Kluyveromyces lactis: one gene and its partners. The protein of the gene in region 4 binds, or shares a complex with, the protein of the main gene of each other region. Links are inferred from orthologs where the notes say so. Each region holds a gene or a part of one and is shown on either strand. Other genes may lie near its edges. The genes, in order: SMX2, SMD1, RSA1, SNU13, SME1, PRP8 and SMD2.

Evidence for each region.
Region 1: SNU13 (region 4) and SMX2 share a complex: the UniProt entries of both Saccharomyces cerevisiae proteins name them as parts of the U4/U6-U5 tri-snRNP complex. The link is inferred for Kluyveromyces lactis from reciprocal best matches to the Saccharomyces cerevisiae genes SNU13 and SMX2.
Region 2: SNU13 (region 4) and SMD1 share a complex: the UniProt entries of both Saccharomyces cerevisiae proteins name them as parts of the U4/U6-U5 tri-snRNP complex. The link is inferred for Kluyveromyces lactis from reciprocal best matches to the Saccharomyces cerevisiae genes SNU13 and SMD1.
Region 3: the proteins of SNU13 (region 4) and RSA1 are in contact, whole or in part, in a crystal structure (PDB 4NUT), measured with the Saccharomyces cerevisiae proteins. The link is inferred for Kluyveromyces lactis from reciprocal best matches to the Saccharomyces cerevisiae genes SNU13 and RSA1. Residues at the interface, in NP_010888.1 of Saccharomyces cerevisiae: Pro6, Lys7, Phe9, Pro10, Leu65, Pro68, Leu69, Cys71, Glu72, Asp73, Asn75, Val76, Pro77, Tyr78, Tyr115, Lys118, Asp119, Ile121, Glu122, Leu125; in NP_015131.1 of Saccharomyces cerevisiae: Val242, Trp245, Arg246, Arg249, Lys250, Met252, Trp253, Leu254, Lys256, Ile257, Ser258, Asn259, Asn260, Lys261, His264.
Region 5: SNU13 (region 4) and SME1 share a complex: the UniProt entries of both Saccharomyces cerevisiae proteins name them as parts of the U4/U6-U5 tri-snRNP complex. The link is inferred for Kluyveromyces lactis from reciprocal best matches to the Saccharomyces cerevisiae genes SNU13 and SME1.
Region 6: SNU13 (region 4) and PRP8 share a complex: the UniProt entries of both Saccharomyces cerevisiae proteins name them as parts of the U4/U6-U5 tri-snRNP complex. The link is inferred for Kluyveromyces lactis from reciprocal best matches to the Saccharomyces cerevisiae genes SNU13 and PRP8.
Region 7: SNU13 (region 4) and SMD2 share a complex: the UniProt entries of both Saccharomyces cerevisiae proteins name them as parts of the U4/U6-U5 tri-snRNP complex. The link is inferred for Kluyveromyces lactis from reciprocal best matches to the Saccharomyces cerevisiae genes SNU13 and SMD2.

The regions. Positions count from the first base shown.
Region 1 is NC_006040.1:658,744-660,936, forward strand, and holds SMX2 (mRNA splicing protein SMX2), read left to right. Parts: upstream 1-1,393; coding exon 1,394-1,417; intron 1,418-1,495; coding exon 1,496-1,693; downstream 1,694-2,193. Other genes in the region: MDJ1 (Mdj1p), read left to right, coding at 1-851; GNA1 (glucosamine 6-phosphate N-acetyltransferase), read right to left, coding at 1,818-2,193. UniProt on the Saccharomyces cerevisiae protein: Plays a role in pre-mRNA splicing as a core component of the spliceosomal U1, U2, U4 and U5 small nuclear ribonucleoproteins (snRNPs), the building blocks of the spliceosome.
Region 2 is NC_006040.1:320,463-322,641, forward strand, and holds SMD1 (mRNA splicing protein SMD1), read left to right. Parts: upstream 1-1,253; coding exon 1,254-1,679; downstream 1,680-2,179. Other genes in the region: KLLA0_D03740g (uncharacterized protein), read left to right, coding at 1-69; KLLA0_D03751g (uncharacterized protein), read right to left, coding at 59-622; U4/U6-U5 snRNP complex subunit PRP38, read right to left, coding at 1,827-2,179. UniProt on the Saccharomyces cerevisiae protein: lays a role in pre-mRNA splicing as a core component of the spliceosomal U1, U2, U4 and U5 small nuclear ribonucleoproteins (snRNPs), the building blocks of the spliceosome. Also binds telomerase RNA and is required for its accumulation.
Region 3 is NC_006041.1:1,721,247-1,723,965, reverse strand, and holds RSA1 (Rsa1p), read left to right. Parts: upstream 1-1,190; coding exon 1,191-2,219; downstream 2,220-2,719. Other genes in the region: pyruvate transporter MPC1, read right to left, coding at 66-440; KLLA0_E19317g (uncharacterized protein), read right to left, coding at 2,238-2,636. UniProt on the Saccharomyces cerevisiae protein: Involved in a late nucleoplasmic step of 60S ribosomal subunit assembly.
Region 4 is NC_006041.1:2,008,844-2,011,042, reverse strand, and holds SNU13 (RNA binding protein SNU13), read right to left. Parts: upstream 882-2,199; coding exon 501-881; downstream 1-500. Other genes in the region: putative E3 ubiquitin-protein ligase HUL4, read right to left, coding at 1-43; GEF1 (Gef1p), read left to right, coding at 1,486-2,199. UniProt on the Saccharomyces cerevisiae protein: Common component of the spliceosome and rRNA processing machinery. In association with the spliceosomal U4/U6.U5 tri-snRNP particle, required for splicing of pre-mRNA.
Region 5 is NC_006037.1:204,513-206,669, forward strand, and holds SME1 (mRNA splicing protein SME1), read right to left. Parts: upstream 783-2,157; coding exon 501-782; downstream 1-500. Other genes in the region: mitochondrial 37S ribosomal protein PET123, read left to right, coding at 1-220; mRNA transport regulator MTR10, read left to right, coding at 1,055-2,157. UniProt on the Saccharomyces cerevisiae protein: Involved in pre-mRNA splicing. Binds and is required for the stability of snRNA U1, U2, U4 and U5 which contain a highly conserved structural motif called the Sm binding site. Involved in cap modification.
Region 6 is NC_006037.1:471,930-476,229, reverse strand, and holds part of PRP8 (U4/U6-U5 snRNP complex subunit PRP8), read right to left. Parts: coding exon 1-4,300. UniProt on the Saccharomyces cerevisiae protein: Functions as a scaffold that mediates the ordered assembly of spliceosomal proteins and snRNAs. Required for association of BRR2 with the spliceosomal U5 snRNP, and the subsequent assembly of the U4/U6-U5 tri-snRNP complex.
Region 7 is NC_006040.1:781,389-783,688, forward strand, and holds SMD2 (mRNA splicing protein SMD2), read left to right. Parts: upstream 1-1,467; coding exon 1,468-1,800; downstream 1,801-2,300. Other genes in the region: MCM DNA helicase complex subunit MCM5, read left to right, coding at 1-1,125. UniProt on the Saccharomyces cerevisiae protein: Plays a role in pre-mRNA splicing as a core component of the spliceosomal U1, U2, U4 and U5 small nuclear ribonucleoproteins (snRNPs), the building blocks of the spliceosome.

The DNA of each region.
Region 1 (2,193 bases), on a different chromosome or scaffold from region 4:
ATGTCAAATTGAATTACCAATGCTACGATCCGTGTTCGTCATGTGATGGAAGTGGGTTGAAAGCTGGACATTCGAGAAGTGTTTGTCCTACATGTCATGGTACAGGTACTCAGGTACATGTAAGAGCAGGTTTCCAAATGGCCTCTACTTGTCAAACATGTGATGGTGAGGGTTCAACTATTAAGGACAGCGATAAATGTGGTACCTGTCATAGCCACGGTTTCAAATTGAATTCAAATAAAACTATCACCGTAGACTTACCTCACGGACTTCAGGACGGTGACACAATTAGAGTACCTAACCAAGGTAGTTACCCCGGTATGGCTATCGATCCGTCCATGAAATCTGAATTGCATTTAACCAGAGGCGATTTGTTGATTCGTGTCAGAGTCAGGAAAGACACAAGATTCCAAGTTTCAAATAATTACGACATCATTTACACTCAGGAAATCCCAATTACAACGGCAGCACTAGGTGGCGTCATTGAAGTACCCACCGTAGAGGAAGAAAAGATCAGATTGAAGGTCAGCTCTGGTACTCAACACGATCAAGTCATCAGAATTCCAAATAAGGGTGTCCCTCGTGGAGCTAGAGGTGACAGGGGTGACATGCTTGTCAAGTTCAAGATTGTTATCAAAAAACCAAAGGATGAAACAGAACGTTATCTATGGGAGACCTTGGCCCACTTGACCAATGATACCACTGCAAGAAGGACCATTACTCCCTCTGGATCGTCGGCTAAGGACAACTCTTCCTCTGCTGATAAAGACACAGTTGAAAACAATGAAGGAACCATCAAGAAATTGGAAAATTTCTTGTCTAACACTTTAAAGAAGATCAGAGGGGAATGAAATCCTTAAATCGCATATATGCTCTCCCGTCATACATTCCACCTTCATTCTTTCATAATTCTTTGATTGGATGAACTAATTACGACATTGGCATTCTCATTATTCATGTACCACTTACAGCAGTCATAGCCAGTAATTGCATATACTGCACATTATTTTATAAAACCCTTTAACATCATGTAAATACCAATTTCCCTATATATATATATAATTGCACTTAGCGCATAATACTTATCGTTTTGATATTCTCTTACTAGTTATCCCTACTTACCATATTTAGCTCGGGATTGAAATTCATGCCAATGACAACGAATGTTTTCAGTAAGGGTCGATATGCTTTAGTAACTTATTCTGACCATCGTTGTCTTCTTAACATTGTGACATTGAAAATTACTTTTGAATGGAAAAAGCATAATTATGTACAAAATTCATCAATTGAAATATACTGAAGATAAATTTCGAAGGACTTTTGCCAAGAGTTAAGAGACTATATCTACGACTTATCACTTCCGTACGACCCATTATAAACCATCCAATATTCCATGACATCTCCAGATTTGAGAAAAGTATGTTTACCCCTGTTTTCCAGGAAAAATCTTATCAGAATTTAAATTACTAACTATAATATGATTCGTTGCAAACAGTACATGGACAAGAAACTCATTCTACAGCTTAACGGCAATAGGAAAATTATTGGAATATTACGAGGATATGATGCATTTTTGAACTTAGTACTGGATAATCCAATACAGATTTTCGAAGAAGGAGAGGTCCAAATGGGACCCCAGACTGTTGTTAGAGGTAACTCCATTGTATCGATAGAACCTCTTGACAGTTTGTAAGAGCAGAAGGGAGACAAATACAACTCAATGTGTCGGAACACTTTACTTAGTGACATTTACGTACAATGAATTATGCTAGTAGAAAGGAAGGATAGATATGATAGAGCGCACACTGGTTACAACATCATTTGTCGAATCTGATTTGCATTTCGACACCAGCTTTTTTCAATCCACATTTCTCATAGAATCCAACATTACTTTCATCACAATCAAGAATAACTTTATAGCATCCATACTCGTTAGCTAATTTGTATAAATACTGAATTAATATCAATCCCAATTTCTTCCCCTGTTGATCTTTTCTCACTGCAATGTCTTCAATATGACCAACAAGCCCACATTCGTGAATAACTTTTTTCTCGACTAGCACGTTTCCTGTGGCGACAACTTCCCCATTTGTGTCAACGATCACAGTGCTATTGTACATAGGTATATCTCCTATCGTGACTGAATCCCAATGGTCTATTAGTGAATGGAATTGATCTTGGCTCACATCACCA
Region 2 (2,179 bases), on a different chromosome or scaffold from region 4:
AGAGAGATTCTTTCCTTGAAGAATGAAAGTAATATTTTATCAGAATGGATCAAGACCCTTATTTCTTGAATTTCTTCAAATAAATATTCTGAGCCGTACCCAGAATTGCGTATGCCAAACTAAAAAATACGGACCATTTATCTGGTGAAATGTATCTTTGAGCAATTGACATCAATACCGTTGATGTTGCCAAGCTGGAAGACAACATTGCCGCATATCTTGTCTTGATTGCGTGTATAATTTTTGTTTTGTCAACCTTACCGTTGTTAACAGAAGTCAAGGTAAATAGTAACCCTAACACTTGAATAGGCGATACCATGCCTAATGAGCAGCCTAACTGGACCAAGCTTCTATATTTGGATACCACTTTCCTAATTGTGTATTCGTTTATCCATTTGTAACTGAAATGATTAACTGGTGCGTTAAATAGACCACCATATAGACTCATCAATGCCACTTTGATCCAATTTAGCTTCTCTTTTCTTTCCTCTGGAGACAGACTAACCCATTGACTGAACAGTTCGCTTAACCCAGTTAATACCGCGCCTGTTATGCATTTAGTTAATAACGGGTTACGTTTGAGTAAAATATTATATCTCTTCAAGATTACTGATGACGACATGTTTACTCTTGGCGTTAATCTTTAATACTCCCAATCTCTCGATGCGAGCAGCAGTAACCTTGAAAGCTTGCGATCCATGAGATATGAAAAGAGTAATATCTGACTTTAACATCTATATATATATATATATATATATATCCAGATTTTATCAAAGCAATGACTGACAGAACGTTTTGTTATCGCTTGCATGGATAGTTTCTTATCGCACTTCTCCGTGTATCTGTTAACCATTTAACATGAGATGCAACGGATCTAAATACTTTTTGGGTTCCATGTAAGATTCGAACACATGCTCGCTCGAATGTAAGAAACCATTGGAATCTCACGCAAATGAGTTACCCTGTTAAGGCACGTGATAATATGAAATTTCCACTCTTTTCCAGGAAAGAACGACCCCATTGATTCTTGAGTATCAATTTGAACCATTTCATCCATCATTATGTAGAATATGTCAATTGAGTAACTACGATCAAATCCTGATCTTTTATCAAAATCAGGAAGTTGCTTGTGGATCATCTGTTACTTTTGCAAAATTCAAAACTCTTTTTCATCAAAACCATTTGAAACTGGTAACAGCTTTCTGGTGTATCTTTAGTCCGATTGAAACAACGAAGTTTTATATACAGACAAAATGCAGTTAACAGGGTTCTTAAAGAAACTAAAGAATGAAAGGGTGTCTATAGAGTTGAAGAATGGTACCACTGTTTGGGGAATAGTGAGGAGTGTGTCACCGCAGATGAACGTCTCTCTTACTGACGTCAGGCTGACACTCCCTACTAAGACCTCAGAAGCTACCTTGGCTGCCGTCTTATTGTCAGGTGGATCGACACAAGGACAAGAATCTAAGAGAACAACTAGCCTCGAGTTCATCAACATTAGGGGTAATACGATAAGGCAGATTATTTTACCAGATAGTATCAATTTGGATGCGTTGCTTGTAGACCAACAGGAAGTCAACAGGTTGAGGAAACAAGGTAAAGTGGGAAGTGATCCGAATAAGAAGAGATCACTTGAGAGTAACGGGAATGCTCCTAAACGTCCAAAGAGGGCATTTTAATATACATCAGAAAACATATGTGGAAATAAATATGTAGTGATGTTATGGACTTTGTTTTGATGAATGATTAAACACTATTGATAATTATCTTTCATAATGAATAGCCGTTCTTTCCAGTCGATGCCTCCAAAAAAAGAAAGAATGGAATCAAATTTGATCACTGTCATCTCTTGGATCAGAGCTGGAGTCCGAGTCGCTTGAGCTCTCATCGTCCTCTTCATCGTCCCATATTTTACACCAATTGCATTTTCCTAAGGGGATGCCCCAAATTTCATTCCTGTCGCATAACCAGTCTATCAACTCATCGAAATGTATCAATTTAATCTCTTTTTTAATCGATGATGACCAACAATCCATATCTAACGAGTAACTTTTTAATTTTCTATGATCAAGTATATATTTCTTCATTAAATCATGTAATAAATTGAACGATATATCTTGCTCGGAAGGATTACTCTCAGTTAAGAAATAATACGAGATTCTCATATAACATAATACCA
Region 3 (2,719 bases), about 290 kb from region 4:
TAGTGTAATCTAAGCCATGGGAGAAAGAATGTTGTTTTGTCGGCAGGTTACATTTTCTCTTGCATCTAGGCTGTCTTGGCGACATTGGCGTCAGTAGCGTCAGCTTTCTTGCCACCTAGATAATGATGGTTTAAATATCTGTAACCTTGCACAAGTTGGGCTGTTTCATTCACAACGTGACAACCGAATAACAAGAAGTTCCTTGGGGTAACAGCTAGGGAATATCTCATAAACACACCAGAGTACATCACTAGAGCCAGCGTCATAGGTCCAGAAATCATCTCCGGATCCTTCTTCAAATCGTAGATGGCAGCAATTGGGATACCGAAGTTTGAAACTGGACCCCAGAAATGTGTGGTGAAGACATACTTTAAAGTTTCCTTGTTAATGTATTTGGAAATCAAAGATTGACTAGCAGCTCTCTGTACTGGTTGGGACATGATTCAGGGATTATAAACTGTTGCCGAAGTATAATTTACTGAGTTAATATTAACGTAAACCAAACTAAAAAAAGAAGGATAACAATGAATGAATGGGAAAACGAGAGGCCAACTAATAACTCAGATCGAGTACCAAGAAGTTCTTCAATGTACCTTTAAATCTTTTCTGAAAACATTTAAACATTTTTGTTGAGCTTTAAAAGTCTTCAAGGTTTCGAAGCTTGAAAAATTCACCGCTGCAATACGATTTTCACTGGTAAACCCGTTGGTGAGAGACTACCCACTGCACAGCTGATGGAAGTAAGAGGTATAAAACTACATACATGGAGGGGCCGCATAACCACCAACTTATAAGCCGACATATTGGGGGATAGATTTCTGATTACTCTCAGTGGTTAACTTGGTCAAAATCCGTCTCTCTTATGATTGGTAATAAGAAGACGTATATCAGTAAGGTCACGTGATATAGATGACACTGCGTAAAAGCTATAGCACCAGTGGAATGACTTGCGGGGACCCTTATGAGCCTGTTTGACTGTTACATATTTCAGAATATGTTTCACGGTTTACGAAGCATCAGTTACCGGTTTAAAACTTCAACACCTTTCTCCAGAACATTATGTATGTGAACGTAGGAAATTTCTTTTCATTATCTATTCATCTCATCTCATCTCATCTCATCTCATCTCTATCTGTTCAATTAATGAATATGATGGGAAGAAAGGCCCCAGGGAAGAGTATTCGAGCAACATGAATGGTCAAAACGTGTACAATAACTCTTCACAGGGCGGATCTGTGAATAATAATCTTTTGCAACATACGTTACAAACCACGCGAATGCAGTATTATCCGATACCTCAGATGAATCAACCCAACCAATACGGTGTCCCCGCTATGCAGCATGCACCAATGGGAATGAGATATGGGACCCACCATCCTTTCTATCCGAATCCGCACCAGTATCAACAGAGCTGGTATGGTTTTAATCAAGCGCAACCGCCATACGTGGATGTTACAAAATCAAGCAAGATCAATTATGATGATGAGGAAGAAGAAGAAGAGGAAGAGGTGATAGAGCACCAACAGTCAAATTTAGAGGCAAACGACAAAATCGAAGTACCCAAGAAGGGTCCTATCAAAAAGTTCGCCAATACCAATTTGAGGAATTCTGCTTTAGTTGAGAATAAAATAGCAAGTGATGAAGATGATAAAAGGAAAGAAGAAGAAGATGAAGAAGAAGAAGAAGCTTCTGCTGATGAAGATATCATAGAAACCGTCAAAGGATCAGATCTGTATATACCTGGAACTTCAATAGTGCTTAAAACGGAGGAGGATATCGCAAAATGGAAAGAAGAGAGAAGGAAGATGTGGTTAATAAAGATTTCAAATAAGAAAGAAATGTACAGAGAAAAGTTTAACGTCAAGGACGAAGACTTGAATCGTAATCCTCTCCAGGAGTCTAGAAAGGAGCGCTATTTTATTCAAAATATACAAAACCAAGTTAAAAGGTTTAATTATAAACCAAACTTGACGATAGGTCTTCATCAGAGAATCTTAAAAGAGGAAAACGGTAAGATCTTGGATTTCATCAAAGAACTTGGTGATGCCAATTATCTCAAATATGAACTTACAGAAGAAGAAAAAGAGGTGCTCTTTGGAGGCAAAGATCACAAGAATGACCAGAATAGACGCTCCAATAGGAGGTATGATAGGCAACTCAATCAACGTGATACTCAATACCGAAACCATTCAAGGAAAAGACCGATTGATGAGGTTTGAAAAAGGAAATCTTGCTTACTACTTTAACCCTTCCAATATAAAGTTAGTGACAGCTGAACCAATGAAAGTTCCTATTAAGATACCAGGGAAGAATTTATTCAATGCCTTTCCGTTATTATTGTCAGCAATATCAGCGTCATATTTTGCATCATCGTGGTACCGAGGTTTGTCAACTCGATATTTCATTTTGTGTCTTCCTTTAGAATGCCTCTTGCTCTTCCTCTTCTTATGTTTCTTCTTATCCTTGCTTTTAATACTCTCGTACTCTATATTGTGATTATCTGTATCGATCTTGGGGGAACTGACTTGTAGTATTCTCTGTGTACCATCAGTGCTCATGGCGGGCTCATCAATAAAAGTTGATTCATCTTGATTTGATAACATTCCATTATTTGAAGCAACCATTCTCAGTTGCATGAGTTGGATTACTGACCACTCCGGGAGTGTAGTTTTTAATCCGAATTGATGCCTATTCTAGTTCCTTTCCCTATTTTCACTTT
Region 4 (2,199 bases):
TCTTTTCCCTACCAACAATGTGTAATGGGTTAAACTTGAACATATTCGAGCAGCTACTGATGGACAGTCAGACTTCTTCCTCTAAGTTCATTTCAACAAACTTGTAAATTTAGGGTTGGATAGTCGAAAGCACAAAAGATTGTGTCAAATTTATTACTTTTTTTTACCAACTGACAATATCATCTGGAATACACAGGCCTGTAACCATTTCTTAATTTGAACAGACAAAAAAAAACTATGTACTGACCACTAACTAGAACCATCAGATGTTGATGTCATTGTTAAGAAGGATGCAAATGTATCAAAAAGTTGTATTAATTGTAATATATATGTTTAATATACAGAGGTCGTAAAAAAAAAATCTACCTGTCGATCACTTGAATCAATGAACGTGCAGTAAATCTTTTCTTTGCTATGCAAACCCCCCACAAAGCGGTTAACTCCTTAAACGATTGATATAAAGAATAAGAAAAGGAAATCACGAAATGTGCAAATCCTTCTTAAATCAACAAAGTTTCAATCTTGTCCTTAACGGCATAGATTTGGCTTTTGATAGCAGAAGCATCGTTAGTGGTAATAGAAGCAGCAATAACTGGTCTGGAAACACCACAAGCTCTACCCAAAGCAGTTCTGGATGGAACAAAGACGTATGGAACGTTCTTATCTTCACACAACAATGGCAAGTGCAACAAGATTTCAATAGGTTCACAGTCAGCAGCCATGATAATGAATTCGGAAATACCACGGTTCAAAGTCTTGGTAGCTTCGTTAGCACCCTTCTTCAATTGTCTCATGTTGGAAGCTTGTTGAACAACATCCAAGATTTGTTGGGACAAGGTGGCATCAGCCAATGGGAAAGCCTTTGGGTTTGGAGCAGACATTATTTCTTTATAATATGAAGTGAAGTATCCGATTGGGTCAGTTCAAGTTCCTTGCAAGAATGAAAAGCTCGCTTGAATCTGGTGTTTTAAGACTAGAAATAAGATCGGATCAAGTCCAAGTCTAAAAAAAGTTTTATCATAAAGTGAGATGAGATGGAACGAGATGAGATGAGGTTAGTCTCTTGAAATCATTTTCTTTAGTTTTTCAATTTTTGAAAATTTTCGAATTCCTCGACTGATGAGCAAAAAGAAACAAATGGGATCACAAACTGGTGTAATGTACGGCTGTTTCACTATATTAATTCAGAAGAACGATATACATTCCTCCTATTGTGATCATTTGGCCATTCTCCGCCATTGCTATAGTACTCTATTATGGTCTAAAACACGCAGTCTGTAGTTGTTGTTCCCCATCGTATGCTTCATACTTCCCCAGGAAGAGCTGCTTTCACTCTCAGTTCTTTACCTAATTTCAAAGGTGCATATTTCTTTGTATTGAAAAATGTACGTATTACAATATGTAAATTTATCAACTCATTTATGAATAAACTCATAGTATTGCCCTTGACTTAGGTATGACCCAATTGATGAGCAATAGCTAGCTATGACTGACCAAGAGGTAAATGAGGAGCAGGCTCTGCGAAATATACCAGAAGTCGGTAATTTCGATAAGTTCACTTCTGTGGATTGGATTGAGGAAGAGAAGCGTGAATTGTCCAAGGGAACATCGCATGACGAATTTGATATACCGCGTTCGAGTTGGTATGAGTACCGCAGGTTAATATGGAAAAGAGGTAGCAGTTTCATTACTTTGACTGCCATTGGGCTTTCCATTGGCGGTATTGCTGGTTTTTTACAAATATTCACTGAATTGTTAGTAAACTGGAAATCTGGACATTGTGCTAGAAATTGGTTGTTAAACAAGGCATTCTGCTGTCCTAAAGAAGAGATCAGTAAAAGGAGTTATGGTTCCATAATAAGTTCGGCTGGCAATGCCGCAGAAATATTCTTTAAAAGATCCCAAAGCGAATGTATCGAAAAAGGTATTTGGGTAGAAGCAACCAATCCAATCTTTTCATTTTTGCTATTCATGTTCTTATCGGTCACATTTGCAACTATTAGTTGTCTGATGGTCCTACACATTGCACCGTTTGCCACTGGATCTGGTATTTCAGAAATTAAATCCTGGGTATCAGGTTTCCAATATACCCCGGAGTTTTTGAATTTGAAGACCCTTATAGTAAAATCTGTCGCTTTACCGCTTGCCATTTCTTCTGATTTAAGTGTTGGTAAAGAGGGACCATCTGTTCACTATGCT
Region 5 (2,157 bases), on a different chromosome or scaffold from region 4:
AAGAAATAAGTTGTCTTTGTCGACTTCTCAACAAACAGCAAGAAACGAAGGTGAAATTTCGGATGCATTATTTGGTACTTTGGGCAACGGCAAATACGTAGGTTTGCCAATTGTGAAGGAATTTTTATCTGGTGAGATGGAACAATTTAACCAGGAAATTAATACCAAATTGGATGAATTAACTAAACAAGCGGAAGAACGTAAAGACTCTGTCCTTTGAGATATATCTTTTAGATAATATCACTGACACAAAAGAAACCATATGAACTTAAGGTATTCTCCCCAATCTGAGCAACACATTGTAAATAGATCCATAAGATTACGAACAATATATCTTTATTAGCCTTGATAGTGCTTGTCGCCGTTATCGAAATTTCAGTGCCTTTCATTTTTCCGTTATAATATACAGGCTTATATAATTACACGACAGAGTCCGATCAATGCTTCTACACTCTAAGCATCTTTCTTTCATCCTATTATCATTTTCTGAGTAGGCATTATCAATTTGCCACAACAAGTGTTATATTATCACCTTTCAACATAATTCTCCCAAGAAACACTGCTTTATCATCGCTCTCTTTACCACTTTTCGGATCTACAGCTATTTCGAAAGCGTCATCTATTACCACATTCATGAACTCATCAAAGCCTCTGATCTTGCCTCTTATACGTGTCTGTACTTGTTCGTATAACCAAAACGTTACTGTTGTCTGATGATGAAGGTAGTTGTATATGCAATTGATTGGAGGTACCATAGGAGCTCCTACTTTAGAGCCGGACATTTTAGACTTTTTCTAGAATCTTTCGGTGTATTGAAGGTCGATGTTAGTGTAACTATAATCAGATCGCAGTTATCCTTTATTAATGTCAGTCACTAGTGCCATGTTGAATTCGTTTGATATTAGTTTAATAGGATTATTGTTAACATATTAAAAAAATTTTATATATTGAATCAACCAAAACATTTGATCTTACTTATGCACTATAAAAGGAACTCATAAAAACTGCCACAGCAGATACCGTTGAGCAAGAACGACGTGATTGATCAATATTGATGTTGTATCAAATCCCAGATATCAAGAGTGCATTGATTTGTACTCAAAGTGTTTCTGAACAGGAGAAGAAGATACAAGCTTTACAATTTTTGGAGCAATTTCAAAAGAGCATAGAAGCATGGCAAATCTGCTTCGAAGTATTAAGCAAGCATGAAGCAGACAACTTACAGTTGCAAATGTTTGCTTGTCAAACTCTAGTGAACAAAGTCACCTATGATCTAAACCAGGTCAATACCGAATTAGAGAGTTTCAAGGGAAAGCTCTTTGAGTTCATCGCTATGTATGAAGAGAAGATCATAGTAACACAGTTGAACGTGGCACTAGCCCGATTTACCATTCAGTATCTTGATTGGAGGAATCCGCTAGTTGAAATTATTAATACTCTAAATGGTCTTCCGGGAAAGTTACTACTGTTTTTGAAGATTCTCCCAGAGGAAACATTGGATATCAAATCCACTCCTCTATCCCAAGATGAATTTGAGTGTAGAACACACGAACTTATAGATAACATTGGAGAAGACGTATTGAAATTTTTGATTTCATGTTTGGATAGAGTCGGAACTGAAGGCATATCTGCTTCTAAAATCATTTCGTGCTTTGGATCGTGGTGTTATGAATTTCCAATAGAACAGGTATTACAAGTGACTCCATTGATAAACACCGTGTTCCAAGTCTTGCATACTTCATATGATACTGATTCTGATTCTTTTGAAGCTGCAGTAGAATGCTTATGTGTGTTATTAAGAGAAACGAGAGACGCAGCCAACGATACAATCATACATGCGCTTTACGAGCAACTTTTAGCTTTGCAACAAAAGCTATTGCCAATCACAACCATTTCTGACTGGGAAGAATACGAAGAGATTATGGATCCACTCACACGTTTATTCGTTGAAGCTGGCGAAGCGTGGTGTGTTTTTCTTGCAAAGAATCCTGCCTTATTCAAACCATTGGTTGAAGTCATCTTGGTATTAACTTGCAAGAACACTGACCTCGATATCGTTTCGTATACTTTCCCATTTTGGTTTAATTTGAGGCAAATGTTAGTTTTACAACGTTACGCTCAACAAAGAAAAGAATATCAGGATGTATTTATTAATTT
Region 6 (4,300 bases), on a different chromosome or scaffold from region 4:
TCTTCGCTAAAAGCAGTTCCCATGAAAGCGTAATTCCATATCGATGACGAAGGTACCAAGAAATTGCCCATAATGCGTTCAGATAATAAAATCTGTGCAGTCTCGCTAAATGAAGCTTCAAACCCTTCTGGTGAAGGGTCCGTTATGTCTTTCGATTGTAAGCCCCAGTTGAAACCCGTAGTGCTTAACGTATATCCTGTAATTGATACGGCACCTGGGATTAGATTTATGCACAAATCAACAGCACTTTCGTTATGATCTGAAAACATTTTGGAATGAGTGATCACTTCAGATGGTGACATGAATTTGGAATCGACTTTTTGGGTATGTATCCATCCCAACAGTTCCATGTCGTTGAGATATTTGGAAGATGAGGGGGGAGGAGATATGCGAACAGTTGCGGAACTGCCGAGTTGAGGGACAAGTGCTATCGTCTTAATTTCCTTCACATTAGGGTGATCTTTTACAGGTGACCCGTACATATACCCTGCAATTTGGACATCGACATCAGCTATTGTGACAAACTTCTTCAACAAGTTCCGTGGGAATACGAGGACATCTTTATCTTCTACAAAATCTTCGGCAGTAACATATATGTTCTTAAGCTTCAAATGTAGCAATGAATTGGAGATTGCATTTGACCGCCAAGCATTTTTCGAACTGAAAGATTGGGACTCATAATTGCTGGATGACACCACTGTAATTTCTTCACCTTGAGCATTGATTGTTTTTAGCTTCATGGCTGCCGTGGCAGACTGCGACGACTCATCAGTTTTCTGATTTCTTGCAGCCTCCAATTCTGCCATCTTCTGCCTCTGAACAGATGGAGCTCTAATGTTCTGTCCTAAAATCAAATTCTTGATTTCAGTTTGAGTCAAAGAAGCAATGTTTACATTGTATTTTTGACCATACTCTAAGAGAATTAGATCACGCATCTTCGTCTCAATTTCAATCCACTGATCATCAGTAAAAGAAGGCCATAGATGATTAGCTCTCGTTGGGATTGTAGGATCCTCTAATAGAATCATTTTGGCTTTTTCTTCATTGGTTTTGAGCGCTCTTAATAGCAATATCAATCTAGAGAAAGCAGTGTAGGCAGAAACTCGAGTTAGCCAGTCATCATAAATGTTGAACAAAACCATCTGCGGTTCTGTAGCGCTTAAAACAACATCATTTAATTTTTCTATGTTCAAAACAGAAGAAAAAGGTAATCTGAGCTCAGTTGGACGAATCGAAATGTTTGGGAAATCTAACATGTGTACTTCCATAGGGTCCATCATAGCTTTTCTAGTAACTATAATTTGTTTAGGTTGTTCTTCTTTGGGTAACGATCTAACCAATGCACTTACTTCTTCTGCGGTTTTCCATTTTGCCAATTGAGCCAATCTGCTCTGCCCCGCCCACACCGAAGTGTGAATTATTTTCAAATATAGTTCACCTGTTTTCGGATTTAAAGTAAACACGCATCCGTTGATAGGCTTAGTAGCCACATTGCCTTCATAAGTTCTATGAACAGTGACCCGGTAAACATTCGTATCATCGATAAAGAATTTTGTGTCATTGGAAAATAGCTCTGCGTAGTTGGATGAGTTCAAAAATGGCTCTTGAACTTGAGATTGATATATCTGAAGACCTTTCCTGATACGCTCCCTCAAAACGTAAAGTGCTGGATTAGCTTTCATTATTGTTTTCATACCGTTGTGTATCAAGGGCTTCAATCCCTCAAACCACGTTCCATAGGAGTCGTAAATATTATAGGCCAAGTCAATACCGATCATAATACCAGTAGGAGACGGGTACAAGCTCACGTTATCTGTGGTGTAATCTAAAAATTTCGCACGGACATATCTTGATATATCATGAGAATCATAGTCACCATATCTAAGCTGCACATCGATCCACATTTTGTCAGTTGTGGTAGCGTCGAAAGAATCTTTCGTCTGATGCAACAATGTTGGTCTGCTAACCTTCCATTTGTAAATACTGTTCAATGTGATGTCAGCAGCAGACGAATTCATCTTATACGACTTACGTGGATGAATTGATTCTTTTTGAACAGATTCAATCTGTAGTATATCCATTTGGCCGTCCAGAATTTGACAGATGTCGAAAACCACACTTTCGTGGATTTTTTGCCATAGATGTGCTCGGAAAATTTGAATTAAAGATATCTTCAATGTTGGAATTTTACCGTGCAAGAATATTCCTGTTAAATCCAATTGCACCAAAAACCCAACGTAGACGTTCGCTCTATTAATCGTCGGAGACCACCATAACGTAAACCTACGATTAGGGATCTGACTCAAACCAGTTCTTTGTGCATGAGTAAGTTTCTTGAACTGCATTGAATCTTCAAAACCAGAGGCTTTCTCCCAGAAAAGTCCTTCCCATGATTTAAAGCCAGTTCCTTTAAATAATGTGTGCTCAAGAATTGTTTCGATACCCCCTAAGGCCTGAATGACATCCGTACGATAGGCATTCAAGTTCCATAATTTACCATCATGACGATTATTTGTCCACCAGAAAGCATTACTACGTTCCACTGAATACTCTTTGAATTGTCGCCTAATCCTGTGACCCTTATCATAGGCTAGCGTATGCCTATCTTTTTGGAATATGGTACTGATCCGCGGTATACCTCTATCCCAAGAACCCTCTAATTCTTCAAATGCCAACCTACGATTTTGTTTTATGGCTTCTTGTCTTTTAGCAGCATAATCCGCCCATACTCTCTGTGAGTCCAAAAATTCGTTCTCCCAGGTAGTAATGTATCGGAAAATTGTTGGTATCATCTTCTCATCTTCGTGGGACATCCCTGCCCTGAAATGTGTTATTCCAGTATCTGTGTGTTTTGACCACCTCAAGTCAGAAGCGGGAATTAAAATGTGCGATGCGCTGAGCATTCCCAAACCACCTAACTCTTTAGGTGTATAAAACACTGCTGGAGGGAACCTTGTTGGCATTTTAGAATTTAAGCCGAGTTTTACTCTATTTTGAACTCTAGTCTCAGATTTCACGAGTAAGTCGAGTAACGGTTCTGTCGTGACGATAGATTCTCTAAAATAGGTAAACAAAGCGATTAGTGCAGTATTCCATTTGCCCACAATTTTTGTAAAAGTTGTGGAGCCGGAACCCATCAAAATACTTTGAATACGACCTCTAAACTCATCAATAGCTTCTTGTGATACCTGTAAAAACGCTTTGGCAGTCCGTTCTTTTGTGGAGTCCAACACCAAATCCCATACACCCTCATCATGAGAAATGACATCTTCCATCCGAGATTTCGGTAGTATTCTCACCTCAAAACCGCACATAGTGAAAAGTAAATTAGGATTATTCTTGCTATAAACTGAAGAAAGAGTATTCTCCCACGTTATGTTAACAAGTGATTTTGGTACCCTAGATGTAAGTTCCCAGAAAACAGCACGACCTAGATTAACATCGTGTCTGATTAACCTCATGCGGGCGTCTCTAGGCCAGCATTTCTTGTTGTTATAACCAACAGAATTTTCAAAATTTGGATCGGGGTTTTCCATCAAATAGTCTTGGATAAGCTCATCAGACTCAGATTCTTCAAAGTGGAATAAAATATGGATTTTGTCAAGATAGCGTGAGTAGAGGCGAATTGGGCTCTTCGTTTCAGTAGCTTTATCTGGAAATTGCAAGAATTCAGATGGTTCGTTTGGAGGGCCTGCTAGTTCCTGTGCCCTTTCATGTCCCAAGATGAGAATATCAATCATTAAACCATAAAATTGATAAACAAATGGTGCAAATTGTAATCCCCTTATTAGACCATATTTGTTAACATGATTCATATCCTTAAAGATCAAACTGACATTATTCTTTGCAGTAATGTAATCCGCTAATGTCGGATCGATAATTAACCTTAGGAGCCTGTTTATTAGTGTCAAATCCATCTTTTCAACGAATTCTTGTAAATCAGTTTGCAACAATACGGTCGATTGCCCTTTGCTGATGTCCCATACAGAATCTAAGTTGTTAATGCCTTGACACCATTTGTAAACAAGAAGTGGCGGGATTTCTGAGTCACCTGGCTTTATCCAACTAGGGAAAAGCTGCCTTCTGTCAGCTTCATACCATAGATACTGGTCAAGATATGCATCGGTAATTTTCTCCAACGGATCAACGTTATAGACTGGAGATATGTGTTGATAATGATCCATCATTGTTAGTTGTATTGGCTTGAATAATCTTTGGGTTAGCAATAGTTTTTTAATTCTATTCAAGGTATCATGAGGATTGTCATATGCCTCTTCAATTAAAGCTAACTCTTCACGTT
Region 7 (2,300 bases), on a different chromosome or scaffold from region 4:
GATGGTATGAGACTAAGAGGTGATATCAACGTGCTACTGCTTGGTGATCCTGGTACTGCAAAATCCCAACTGTTGAAATTTGTGGAAAAAGTTTCTCCGATTTCGGTATATACATCTGGTAAAGGTTCTTCTGCAGCTGGTTTGACGGCAAGTGTCCAAAGAGATCCAACTACACGGGAATTTTACCTAGAAGGAGGTGCAATGGTGCTTGCTGATGGTGGTGTTGTCTGTATTGACGAATTTGACAAGATGAGAGACGAGGACCGTGTTGCCATCCATGAAGCCATGGAACAACAAACTATTTCCATTGCTAAAGCCGGTATCACTACCGTTTTGAATTCTAGAACTAGTGTCTTAGCTGCAGCAAACCCTGTTTACGGTAGATATGATGATTTGAAATCACCGGGTGAAAACATTGATTTCCAAACTACCATCTTGTCCAGATTCGATATGATCTTCATTGTTAAAGATGATCACAATGAAGCTAGAGATATCCAAATTGCGAACCACGTCATGAACATTCACACAGGAAGAACTCAACAAAACGATCCAAATGATAATTCCAACTCCAACAACGAAATTCCAATAGAAACTATGAAGAGATATGTTAGTTACTGTAGGTTAAAATGTGCCCCCAGGTTATCTCCTGAAGCAGCCACAAAATTATCTTCTCATTTCATCACTATTAGAAAACAATTACAAGAGTCCGAAAGACATTCCAATGAGAGGTCTTCCATTCCAATCACAGTTCGTCAATTAGAAGCCATAATTCGTATCACAGAATCTTTAGCTAAATTAGAACTGAATCCAGTAGCGACCGAAAAACATGTTGATGAAGCCATTAGATTATTCCAAGCTTCTACGATGGATGCTGCCTCTCAGGATCCTATCAACTCCCAGGAAAATGATACAACAATGCTCTCACAAATTAGAAGAATCGAATCTGAATTGAAAAGAAGGTTGCCAATAGGATGGTCTACAAGTTACAAAACTTTGCAAAGGGAATTCGTTGTGAACAAGAAACTTCCCCAATATGCGCTAGATAAGGCGTTATACCTGTTAGAAAGACATGATTCTATTCAACTAAGACATCAAGGTCAGAATATTTATAGAAGTGGAGTATGAAGTTGCAAATGAAATTCAGGAACCCCTCCTTGAACATTGTCTATAACTCATATGTACCACTGTGTATAAGGAATTTCAGCGACTATGTGTTGATATTTATATAGTGTAAGATTACCCGGATAATGATAATGATAATTGGATAATCCGAAAGAAAACAACTGGATGGTATATTGGGTTTGATGCACAGGATGAGATGATGAGATGACCAAAGAAGGAACCTCTCATATCATATGGCAATCAGGACAAGTTATCACAAACTTACGAGATTGCAAATATCATAAGCCAAGGACTTATCTTCAGGATTTGTCTGTTACATATACTAGAAAATTGACCTAAAACACGATGGCCGATACATATATTCCAAAGACAGACCTTTCAAGGTCTGAACTATCTAGAGACGAGCTAACACAACTAGAAGAATTCGAAATGAAATATGGACCCATGTCTCTAATCAGGGAATCAATGCTACAGAGGACACCTGTTATAATATCACTAAGGAACAATCATAAACTCATAGCTCGTGTGAAATCTTTTGACAAGCACTGTAACATGGTTCTGGAAAACGTTAAAGAAATATGGACAGAGAATGTAAATGGTAAGAAGGTTAACAGAGAGCGATTCGTAGCGAAACTCTTTCTTAGAGGGGACTCAGTGATTATAGTGGTAAAGACATGAACCTGTTTTTATCATCCCATCAACATCCTTTCTGAAGTCACGTGTACTGATATGTTCGCTGCCACTGAAAGCATCAAGTAAAAGGGTTATAGAGCTAATAATCTGATCAAATATCAGGACAAAGATGCATTAATCTTCTGTGAAGCCTTTACCGCATTGAACCAATGTAACTTTCTGATCTGTGCCCGGATTCTCCCTAGTTTTTATATGTCGAATTCCAAACGGCGCATACTCAAAATACGTAATTCAAGCTCAAAAGAACCGTTTAATCCTCTATAGAACTAGATATCAATACATAATACGGCTCAAACCATACAACCCAATACATCCCTTATTTTACAGCTAAGGGGTTGCCTTACCAAATTCAGTATACTGCTAATCACTATTTTTGCCGTTTTAACGTAACGAATACTCAGTTTGGATATTTCACGAATGATATTTCTTCATATTTTTTTTTTTTTTTTTTATTTTTCACTTTCATGAACTCTTTTAAAAAACTA